Mus musculus: one gene and its partners. The protein of the gene in region 1 interacts with the protein of each later gene in a pairwise test. Links are inferred from orthologs where the notes say so. Each region holds a gene or a part of one and is shown in the gene's direction. Other genes may lie near its edges.

Region 1 (3,650 bases):
AGAGCAATGGGACATCAAATTATAGCCTCCATACTACAGTTCAGATAACATAAACAGAAGTGTTTGGTGAGGTGTGTACATCTGTGGCAGACTACTCACATAGCCTGTGAGGCCATAAATGCAGTTCCGGCACTGCAAAAGTAGACAAACAGATGAAGTGAATGTATAGAGAGAATGTTAAAGATAAAAAGTAAAAGGAAGAAAGGAATTTACCTGTTGTTACTTACTTGAAACCATTTCAGAAAAACAAAACAAAACAAAAACCCCCCAAAAACCAAAGATACAAAGCTGTGTTGTCCTGCAAATGACATGAAACTATTACTCACTCATTATAGGATCTATTCAATACTATTGTATTTTTAAAATGAGTATTTTCAAAACGAGGAACCAGAGCTTTGAAAAGTTATATAGCCAGAGCCAGGCATGGTGGCTCATAACTTTAATCCCAGCACTTAGGAGGCAAAGTCTGAGAGCTTGAGGCCATCCTGGTCTACCTAAGAAGTTTCAGACCAGTCAGAACCTTCTCAGGGAAACCTTGTCTCAAAGGAGAAAAAAAAGTTTATAACCCAGCTATTATAATGACAAATAAGTGATCTGCTTCTGTAGTGGATCTCTTAAGAAATTTAGAGAAGGAATGGCTGGAAGATATAATTAATGGGAAACACTTGTCTAGCATGCACAAGGCCCGTTGGTTAGATCACCAGAACCACGGGAAGAAAGGTAGGGTGATCTTTGAAATTTTCTCCTGTCTGTTCCCCAGATTCTCTCAAAATATTTCTAAGTCTATTCTTCTAAGAGTTTTGTATGCAGCACTGGGTTTTTTCTTTTAAATTACGGTATAAATATACATTCTGTTTACAACCTGTATGGTCTTTTTGATCCCATCTTAATTTCTTTATCAAGTTGACTTGGTGAAGATTATAATCAAGGCCTCAGTTTATTTAAAATGGTTCCTTTTATTTATAGTCCTCAGTGTTTACTAAGAGCTACATTAGATACATTTTGTATGTTCATTAACCTTGGCACCTGATTTTGCAGGTGGTTTTGGAATGTATGCTTAAGAAAGACCTCATCTATAATAAGGTCACTCCCACATTTCACCACTGGAAGATCGATGACAAGAAGTTTGGCCTTACCTTTCAGAGTCCTGCTGATGCCAGGGCTTTTGATCGAGGCATTCGAAGAGCTATAGAGGATATATCTCTAGGTAGGTTTCATTATTCTTATCTGAATATTATTTATAAGTAGTAGATATTCTTTTTTTGAACTTTGACCTAAAGTAGTTGCTGTCCTTTAAAAGGTGTTTAATAATAGAAAAAAAAATGTTCCAAGAATAACAGTCAGTTTGTGGTACGACTCAGTGGTCAAACATGCCTGTTAGCACAGTGCTTAGGGACTGAGGCAGGGGAATTGAGAATGTGAGATCTTCTTGGTTTGGGTTATTTAGTAAGCCTGTATTTTAAAAAAGCAAGGAGACAGAGAGTAGGGGAGTACAAGGTGCTGTTTTCTGAAAATTTGAAGAAATATAAACTACTTATGAGGAAACTAGATATGAGCATGGAAATACTTAATGCTAAGTGTGTTTTGATACTGTGTGAAGCTGGTTAGTTTTGGCATATTTTTTAAAGCTCTCAGTTGATTATATTTTTAGGTAAGTTTTATAAAACAAATATTTTAAAGAGAAAATTATTATTCATAGCTGTTAAAATGAAAGTGATACATTTCAAATTTGGGTTGACTTTCAAGCCCATATTTATGCCCTTGTAAGAGAACACTTCTTTTTCTAAGATGGAGTAAGCTGGGTACACAGTGCTGAGCCAGTTTTCTGTTTAAGGAGGAATTGCACATACACCTAACCAAGATAGTATTGCAATGTCTTTATCAACAGTGTTCTCTTTCAACAGATTTACTAAATTTCTGTCACTTAGTTTTTTATCCCCCAAAATAAACTAGACTACTTTTTACAAAGGTCTCATTCCTTATCTCATGCCTGCTTCATGATAGCCATGCTTAGAGCATAAATGCAGAATATTCTGCTACCATACATCATTTTGCATTCACTTGTTATAACTAATGGCACTCTTTAACACCATACAAGCTTATACAGACATGTGCATGCACCGCGTCAGTCAGCTGGGCCTTGACTGCCCATAGTAAATTAAGACTGACTTCATTTTTTAACTTGAGCAGCTGAAATTCTGATTCTGAACACATATGTTTCCTGGGTCAGACAATTTAGAAAAAATTGAATTAGTCACATTTTGACATCACTAAACAACCAGAGAAATATAACACAGCTAGAAGCTTAGCCGTGAAAGAAAGTAAGTGGAAACTTGCCAAGAGCTGATGGAGACAGTCACTTTTTATTCTAACAGAGGAGGAAATACAAGAATCTGCTATTTGAATGTTGCCAGGCAATACAGAAGTCAGTCAGTCAGTCATATATATAAATGCTATGCTTAATTAACTTTGGCCTCTTTTCTTAGGGTGCCCAGCGTCAAAAACTGAGGCTGAAGGAGGAGATGATGATTTACAAGTAAGTGGTTTGGCTTGAAAGGAATTTTAAAACATTTTCTGTAGGAAATCATTAGAATTCATAAGTAAATTTCAAAGAACCTGTATTTACCTTGGTCTTCCAGGTAAACGGAACCATGTCACAGAAAAGTTTGTTTTGTAAGGAGTTTTACAGGTTGCAAGTATGAAATCCTTAAAGTAGGCAGGTTGACATTCTGGAAGCTAGACGAACCCATGCTGCATGACTGAGCTGAATTTCCAGACCCCTCGGGACATCATCTGTGTTGAGGGAAGTCTCCTTACGTACTGAACTGGTTGGTTTTGTGTCAACTTGACACAAACTGGAGTTTTCACTGAGAAAGGAGCTTCAGTTGAGGAAATGCCTCCATGAGATCCAGCTGTAAGGCATTTTCTTAATTAGTGATCAAGGGGGAAAGGCCCCTTGTGGGTGGGACCATCCCTGGGCTGGTAGTCTTGGTTCTATAAGAGAGCAGGCTGAGCAAGCCAGGGGAAACAAGCCAGTAAGGAACATCCCTCCATGGCCTCTGCATCAGCTCCTGCTTCCTGACCTGCTTGAGTTCCAGTCCTGACTTCCTTGGTGATGAACAGCAGTATGGAAGTGTAAGCTGAATAAACCCTTTCCTCCCCAACTTGCTTCTTGGTCATGATGTTTGTGCAGGAATAGAAACCCTGACTAAGACACATACTGTAGGGCTGGCGAGATGGCTCAGTGGGTAAGAGCACTGACTGCTCTTCCAAAGGTCTTGAGTTCAAATTCCAGCAACCACATGGTGGCTCACAACCACCCATAATGAGATCTGACACCCTCTTCTGGTGTGTCTGAAGACAGTTACAGTGTACTTACATATAATAAATAAAAAATCTTTAAAAAAAAAAAGACACATACTGTATATTGATTACATGTAGTCATGTCCAAAGCATAATGTGTGGCAAAGTTTAGATTAGTGTTTAGCCAAACAACTACATACCATATATGATTTGGCAAGCCAACAAAATTAACAATACACACCTGTTCACTACTTTCCACTTAAGAAAGTTTATAGAAAAAGGAATTGCAAATTGTTAGTAGCATATAGTCAGGAAGATGGCAGCCATATCTCCATATCAAAATGTCC
Region 2 (3,750 bases), on another chromosome or scaffold:
CTCTTTGACTCGAACACGGAGCTCCCAACCGTATGCTGCAACCCCAGAGAGAAGGCATATCCAGCTGCTAGAACGGGACAGCGCAACTGGCTTAAGAGGAAATGGATAGCTCTCATAAGGAAGACGCGGGTCCTACTGGTTTCCCCTGGCTGTGCTTTGTTTGGGAGTTTCTAAGACCAAATCTCCAAAAACCGGTTCTTTGCCTGTCCTTAGTCCCCCAAACAGCGCTCATCTCCACCATTTGCTGCCTGGACAGAAATCCGGCCTCTTCTGCATCTGCAATCCCATTTAACCAATCCCCCACGCGTCCCGCCCCCACTTTTGGTAGATCCCTTGAAGTCCCTCCTCCGCACGTGGCCCAGCCCAGGGATCTCTGCTCCCCTTTCGCCCTGAGTTTGGCGTTAGAGCTCTTTCCCACCACCTTGGGTTGTGAGCTCTCAGACACCAGTACATCCGTGGCGACTGAGCGGGCTGTGACGAGACCCCCAAGTGCGGAAAGGAGGTGTTTTCGCCTCCCTGAAACCTTCCAGACCCGTTCAGTGTAAACCGCCTCTGGTTTGTGTCAACATCCGAGGCCGGAGACTGGCGGCGGCTGGGAACCGGCTCCATCTAAGCGACGGGAATGCGGGAGGGTGGGGAATGGAGCAATGCTTGGCGTACTGTAAAGGCTCCTTCTGGAGGAGAACCAACAAGTCTTTTTAGGGGTCCTCGAGAAGTAAGGATAGAGCCTGACAAGAGATCTGACTTAGAGTTGTGGGGGTGGCTGGAGGGAGCCCACGCCCTCGTGTGTCTAGGTAGAGGATACTTCCACATCCACCCAGCTCGTGCCGCACCCACCCTCCCCTCTGCTAAACGGCGGGAGAGGAGTGGGTGTGGAGGGGCACTGGTGCAAAGCCGCGAGTTCTTGACCACCCCATCTCCCCTTTTCCACCTTGCCACTCCGCAGCTCCTCATTGATCCCCTCCAGGTACGGGCAGGACAAGAGACGGGGTCGCATCTTATGAATCACCCCCTATCTTACCCCCACCCCCGCTGGGGCCCAGGAAGAGAAGGCTTAGAAATTCAACTGTGGTTCTTCTGTTCCCATAGCAACGGTGCGGTTGTTTTTTGCGAATCCACTTTAATCATCGGTACTTTTCGCTCCAAACTGTGACCCAGGCTCTGAGCCTCAGGGTTGAGGAACAGATGGGGGTACAGCCCTCTACAATCCTGGCGACTCCGGGAAGGTCAGCGCGGGCGGACGGGCGGGGCGCGCTCTTGTGGTAGCCTAGACTCACAGGCCACCCCATCCCCACCTGAAACCCTGCCTGTCACTCGGTGCCAGCCGAACCAATCGATGTCCAAAGTTGCTGAGAGGAGGCGGGTCTTATGCAAATCGTGTCGCCTTCGAGAAGCAAATAGTGATACAAGAACTGGGGAGGCGGCTCCGACGCGGACCCTACAGAGCCTGTCGTCCGCCTGATAGCCAGCCTTGTCCCCGCGGCCGCCCAAGCTCGGAGCCATCTAGCGACTCGGCGAGCGGCCTCAGGTAATGAGGGTGGGGCCGGGCCCTAGAAGCAACCTCGCGGGGCGGAGGCCCTGAGCCCCTCCTCCTCCGCCTTCCACTCCCATCCTCATCTGCTCAGATCCATCTTTCTGACCCTGGGTCTGTCATAGGTGGACAGCCATCTGGGAAGCCCGCCTTGGGCCAGGAACTTTCACTTCAAGCCGGGTCTCCAGTTCAAGAAGGAGGTACAGCTGCCTCCTTACCCCCAGCTCAGGTAAGAACAACCATTCCTCTGGCTCCAGTGCAAACACACGCGCACGCGCGCGCACACACACACACACACACACACACACTCTTACTTGGGGGTGTGTGGTGTCACTGGTGCTAGAAGAGAGGTTTCAGTCACCCTGTGTTCTCTTGCCTCTAGAACCAAGCCTCATGGAAACCTCTACTTGGAGGTAGCCCACACCGACACCAATAGTTCACTGTCATTCCCATCTCAGGGTCTTGTTCCCCAAAAGACCTCGATAGCAAATTCATTCTCTGACTACACTCTCTCTGCCCCTTATGCTGACAGCTCACAGCATACCTAAGGAAAGGATGAAGACCCCTGAGGCTCCTACTCCAGACCCATTCACCATCTCCCTTCTAGTAGCCTCCCAACTAGACAGGGGTTCCACACTCTTCTTCCTTTATCTTGCTTGGAGCATAAACCAGGGTTGCTCCTCCCAGAAGACCACCCCATAGCTCTAGCCTTTAAACCTCATCATCCCTCACACAGGAACGCACCAGGTCCTCTCTCTGTAACCCGGTCTTCTCTGTTCCTTTTGTGCCTGTTGCTCCCTCTCTCGGCTTCCTGTTGTTTGCAGAGATGAAGCCAAAGATGAGTCCATGTGGGCTCATTTTCTCCTTTCCCTATGTCTGAATGAGAAAGCAGAAGAGTGCAAGCCTTGCCTTCGCCTCGATCTCTGCTTGACTTTAGCCAAGGCTTTTCCCTCTCAGATTCTTCATGAGATAGGCAAAGAGCAGGACAGAGGAGGGTTCGATGAGATGGTCTTGAGTAGCCTTCCAGGTCTGACATATTCTGGTTCCACAGCTGATTACAGGAGAACAAAGCCCTGTTCAAACCATTAGGATATTTCTCAGAGGAGACCTGAGAGGCCCCATCCATCACTGTAGGGACATCCTTTTCACTCAGGCCAAGGTTCAGGCTACTCCCTCCTACATATCCTACAGCCTCATTCTCTTAGGGGCCTTTCCAGACCACCAGGCCACCCTGGCATGAAAGCTCCAAATTATAGGTGGTCAACACAGCTCACCTTGTATGAGTCACTTTTGCCTTTTATTATGAAGGGGAGGAACAAGACCTGGTTGTTACTGCCATTGCTGCTGCTTGTGGAAGAGCAAAGGGAGGAGAGGGAAAGAGAAAAATCTCCTGACCAGGGAGCTGTTGTCACCATGGCAACCGCTTCAGCACCAGCTTCTCTGAAGCTAGGCGAGGGTGTGGGATTATTGCCTCCTTCAGTCCCTCCTACTTTTTACTGTCATCTCTCCACTTGAACCCCCTAACCCCGGACCCCCTAGAAGAAGCCTCTGAGCACAGAGGAGGGGGCAGAGATTTTTGAAGCAAGGAGTACCTCCTCAAGTGAAGCATAGCCCTCCAGAAGGTACGACTTCAACAGAGCACGCACCCACATAGGCGCTGGTCTTTGCTTTGTAGCTGATGGGCTCCAGTTGACCTTGGGTGAACCTTTCTCTTCCCTGACTCTGAGTTCTATTGTCTTTGAAGTAGGCTTGATAGGAGATCACAGACAAACAAAACAGTGTGACATAGTACCAAGAGGAAGGGCATGTTGCTCTTCTCTCATAATCTAAGTGACATTCACTGAGCGTGACTATAGCCTAGGCTCTGCCTCCAAGCTTCTGCGGGATGCTCAGGTGCAGCAGGCACAGGAGAAAAACTTCCAGAAGACAGACTTAGAAACAATAAGAATCAGGAACCTTTCCCCCTATCCAAGATGCTCAGAAATTGTCTAAGTCCCATTGGAAGGGGGAAAGCTTGCTTAGGGGCAGAAAGACCTGGAGACTCTCCCCTGGAGTCCTAGATCATTAGATCAGTGTCAGAAGACAGTGCATGGGTGAGGGTTCCACACCATAGCCTCACAAGGTCTGCCTGTGCCCACAGGTTTGAGTTCATGCTGCTGCCTGACCACTGCTCATCTGGGAAAGGGCTGGTTGCAAGGAAGAATGTTTCAGGGAAGGAA
Region 3 (3,750 bases), on another chromosome or scaffold:
ACATTTTCTAAATGGGTTTTTCATAATGCCTTCCTATGGGTTTTACTCAATTTTGTTTAATTGGCTTCCTGTTAATTAAGAATGAGAACGAACTGGGTCATAAGCACTCACACAGAGCTAAAGATCAGCTAACGTGTCCCTGAAGGCAATGAAGCTGTAATTTGGGAACAGGTGGGCTGCACTGTTGACTCCTCTGTGGTAGGGAGATTCCATCTGTGGGATGCCGAACCAGTCACTCAACATGAAACTCCCTCAGTCCGTTATGGACCAGAGAATCGTGGGAGGGTAGAGTGTGGGACCTGCGGAGGGGTCTGGCCCCTTTTCTCATCATCTCCAGGTCCTTCTAAAGTTGTGCCCTTGTGGAAGTGTTCTGGTCATCATTTTTGCAAGGAATCTTAGGTGGCATGCGACTTGGCTTTATCTACCCTGCTTTTTGCAGCATGCTTCCTTCCTGTCAGGCTCCTTCAGCCACACCATCTTTCATCGGCATGCTCTCGGGACACCGATGAGGATTCAGTTTCAAGAATATACAGTTTTTCCACCAACAATCTCTTGAAAGCTGTTTTCTCTCAGTTTATTTAGAGGGGAATTTAATTCACTAAGAAAACCACCTCATGAATGTTTTCAGCTTCTTTTTTTGACTGGAGGGGGAGGGGCTCTGTGCTGTGATAGTAAGACTAAGGGTCACAGCATGCATTTTCTGGCAACCAGAGAAAGGACAAGCAGGCTTTAATGATGAAAGTTGCAGGCACTCGTGAGTCACAACTTTGAGGGTTGAAATTATCTGCCGGGCACTGTTCACAATGGTTTTGCAATCCATGTGTATACATACATGCACACACAGATATGCACACACACGAGCACACACATCAGTGACAGATGACCTATTGAAATAATTTCAGAGCCAGTCTGTGGTTGCTACGACAACCAATGCTCTCTTGGCTTTTATCTGGCCATGTGACAGGGACTTTGACGTCAGCCAGAGGCAGAGTCTGTGGCTGAGTCCGCACAGTCAAAGGCTTGTGAGAATCTGGTGGATGCTGGACCTTGCTGCTGCTGCTGCCGCCGCCGCCGCTGTTGCTGTCCCTACAGCTGTGGTTGTTGCTTCCCAGGGGCTGCAGGAGCATGGACTACTAAACCCCCACTTCTTCAGCGTGAGGTAATCGGTTTGCTTTATACACAGGAGTTACGTGGTTTCACAGCCCCTGATGGTTTTCCCTCCCCTCTTAACCTCCTACAACTTTGCCTTCAAGAGCAGTTACTGACGAACGGAGCCAAAGAATGTGAAGCAGCTTCCAGTCACGAATTTCAGGCAGTCTCTGGAACTTGGTTAAATTTGGATTAGTGTTCCATGAAGTAGGTTAAAATGTAATCTTTCTTGCGCAATGCTTGCTAACATACATTATTTAGAAATTCTCATTTTGCAGCGTGAGCCAAATTTGCTCCCTTGAATTCTAGGAATCCCTCCTTCAGTGTTGTTTGGGGTCTGGTAACTCCAGCACCGCCTTGGAGGGAGCAGCTAACTTTTCCTTGTTGCTGCTGCTGATTCTGCGTCAGCCCACAGCAGTCTGGAATTTGGTTTCTACCTCATTTGCAGCATGTATAATTAGCAACAATGGGAACCGTGAGAAAAGACTCTAGACTTTGAAAGTTGTGGTTATTATTGTAAAGGGGGCTTTTGGTACTCTGTAAATAAGAGGGGAACTGTCAACAGCTTCCTGTTTAGAGAAAAGAATCTGCAATATGCCAAGGAAGTCGGGGTGGAACCTTTATGTGTGTGCGTGTGGTTGTTTTGTGGGTGTTACTGTGAAGTGCTATTTTGTGGCTCGCTCTCTCTGAAAACCCTGGTGAAGAGGAGGGACTGACTGGCCTTTTCTAAGGAGTCCTGTAAGCTGGTTCTGATCTTTATTCTTAAAAGTAATTATCTTGAGAAGAAACTAGCCTGGAACTAAATATGCATTGATGTGAGGTCTTCCCTAACTGAAATGTAGATTGAGGATGCTCGATAAAAATTTGCTCCAGGTCTTGTGTGAGTGATTTGGTAACTGATGAGCAAGGATTGCTCCGGCTGTTGTGTGTGCATTGCTGTGGTTCTGCTAGCTCCTTCTGCAGCTCCAAGTTTCAAGGAAACCTCAGGTTCTGAAGCAAACAGAAGCCTAGATGGATAAACAGGTTTCTAGATCTTACAGATTTAACAGAAACGAGGCGTATTTTAGACAGCCATCTGAAATAGAACCAGCATTTGAAGGAGCATAGATAGACTGGCTCCACTCGATATATGCAGTCAGTAGGTTGATGATATAGTTATATTTTAGTTTGGAGAAATAATACATTGTTTGGACAGTAGGTTGACGATATAGTTATATTTTAGTTTGGTGAAAGAATACATTGTTTTTTGCTTCTGTTACTAGGCTCAGAATTGTGGGTTCTACATTTTGCTCTCGTTGGGTGAGAATTCTGAGAGCCTGTAGCCGCAGCAGTAAATGAATAACTGCTTGAATCAATTATTTTCCAAGCAGCTTTCAGTGAATGGACCTTTTGATCAGAGCTTCCGTTAGGACTGTCCACTGTCTGATGTGCTTGTACATACATGTATTTACTAAGACGTCTTCCAGTCATTTAACTGACCTCATGTTCTTGTAACCCAGACGCTACCACTTTCATGAGTCAACTGGTGTGTGACATTTCAATTGAGAATGGGGGGACCAGCTAGCACTGTCATTTAAAGGCATCTCTCGTGGTATACACTTGGTGCTTTAACTTTTCTTGTGTCGACTGTTATCTTCACTCTTTTTCTTGGTTCTCTCCCTGGTTTTAAATTCACAAGATGATTATGTACGACATCCTCATGCCCTCATGCATGAGACTGGATTCCAACAATCAAAACTGTGAGAGAGAGAGAGTCGGTGTTAGTGGCAAAATGTCGGTGATAAAAAGTTGGGAAAAGAGCCTCCCTGATGAAAATAAGAACTTTCAAAGCCTCGAGCCAAGGGTTTGGTTTTTTGTTTTTGTTTTGTTTTTTTTTTTTAAATAAGGAAAGGGGGCTGAGGAGCATCCCCCTGCAGCAGCGAGTCTGTGCTGCCTGCTATCAAGGTCAAGAGTGCTTCAGCCTCAGAAGATGCCAGCATGGAATGATTGACTCTAGAAACCTGGCTGCTGAATTATTAAAGGCTCTGGGTCTAGTTTCAGGAAGCCTTAACCCTTTCAGTGCCACGAGCACGTCTGGCCGTCTGGTGCTACCTGTGGACTCTTTTCCAGAATGATATCTGAAGTGCATAAAACAAAGTATGCTGTGTTGCAAAGGAAACTACTTTTCATGAAAATGTGTCTTTAAAAAAAGAAAAAGAAAAAGAGGCCATGAGTTTGAAAGAAAGCAGGGAGGGGAGAGGGGCAGGGGAAGGGGGGAGATTCAGAAGGTATTGGAGGGAGCAAAGAAAATGGGAGGGATAAAGTTATTATAGAATAATTTCAAAACATACAAAATAATAAAAAATAAAATATACTATCTTTTCATTATGACAGGATAATTGCTTTGTTCATATGTTATTAAGTCATATACCCTACCAGCAGGTGCAATAGCTACCACAGTAATGAGGCAGTGCTTCGCGTGAAGGCTGCTTTGAAATAGAGTTAGTCTAAGAATTGCAATATGAAATGCAAATATCTGCGATTTGTCTTGGCAACATCCCTGGCACTGTGGTTTGTGACCCACATTTTAGTGGAAAGAAATACTAAATTTCAGTTTGGGGT

The links.
Region 2: the proteins of Spred1 (region 1) and Hpcal4 interact in binary tests that used the Homo sapiens proteins (3 or more experiments, as listed by UniProt). The link is inferred for Mus musculus from reciprocal best matches to the Homo sapiens genes SPRED1 and HPCAL4.
Region 3: the proteins of Spred1 (region 1) and Ncald interact in binary tests that used the Homo sapiens proteins (3 or more experiments, as listed by UniProt). The link is inferred for Mus musculus from reciprocal best matches to the Homo sapiens genes SPRED1 and NCALD.

What each region holds. Positions count from the first base shown.
Region 1 is NC_000068.7:117,162,460-117,166,109, forward strand, and holds part of Spred1 (sprouty-related, EVH1 domain-containing protein 1), read left to right. Parts: intron 1-1,038; coding exon 1,039-1,207; intron 1,208-2,486; coding exon 2,487-2,536; intron 2,537-3,650. UniProt on the Homo sapiens protein: Tyrosine kinase substrate that inhibits growth-factor-mediated activation of MAP kinase. Negatively regulates hematopoiesis of bone marrow.
Region 2 is NC_000070.6:123,182,097-123,185,846, forward strand, and holds the start of Hpcal4 (hippocalcin-like protein 4), read left to right. Parts: upstream 1-1,407; 5' UTR 1,408-1,528; intron 1,529-1,656; 5' UTR 1,657-1,760; intron 1,761-3,750. UniProt on the Homo sapiens protein: May be involved in the calcium-dependent regulation of rhodopsin phosphorylation.
Region 3 is NC_000081.6:37,456,626-37,460,375, reverse strand, and holds the start of Ncald (neurocalcin-delta), read left to right. Parts: upstream 1-993; 5' UTR 994-1,159; intron 1,160-1,243; exon of another isoform or gene 1,244-1,356; intron 1,357-1,789; exon of another isoform or gene 1,790-1,887; intron 1,888-3,750. UniProt on the Homo sapiens protein: May be involved in the calcium-dependent regulation of rhodopsin phosphorylation. Binds three calcium ions.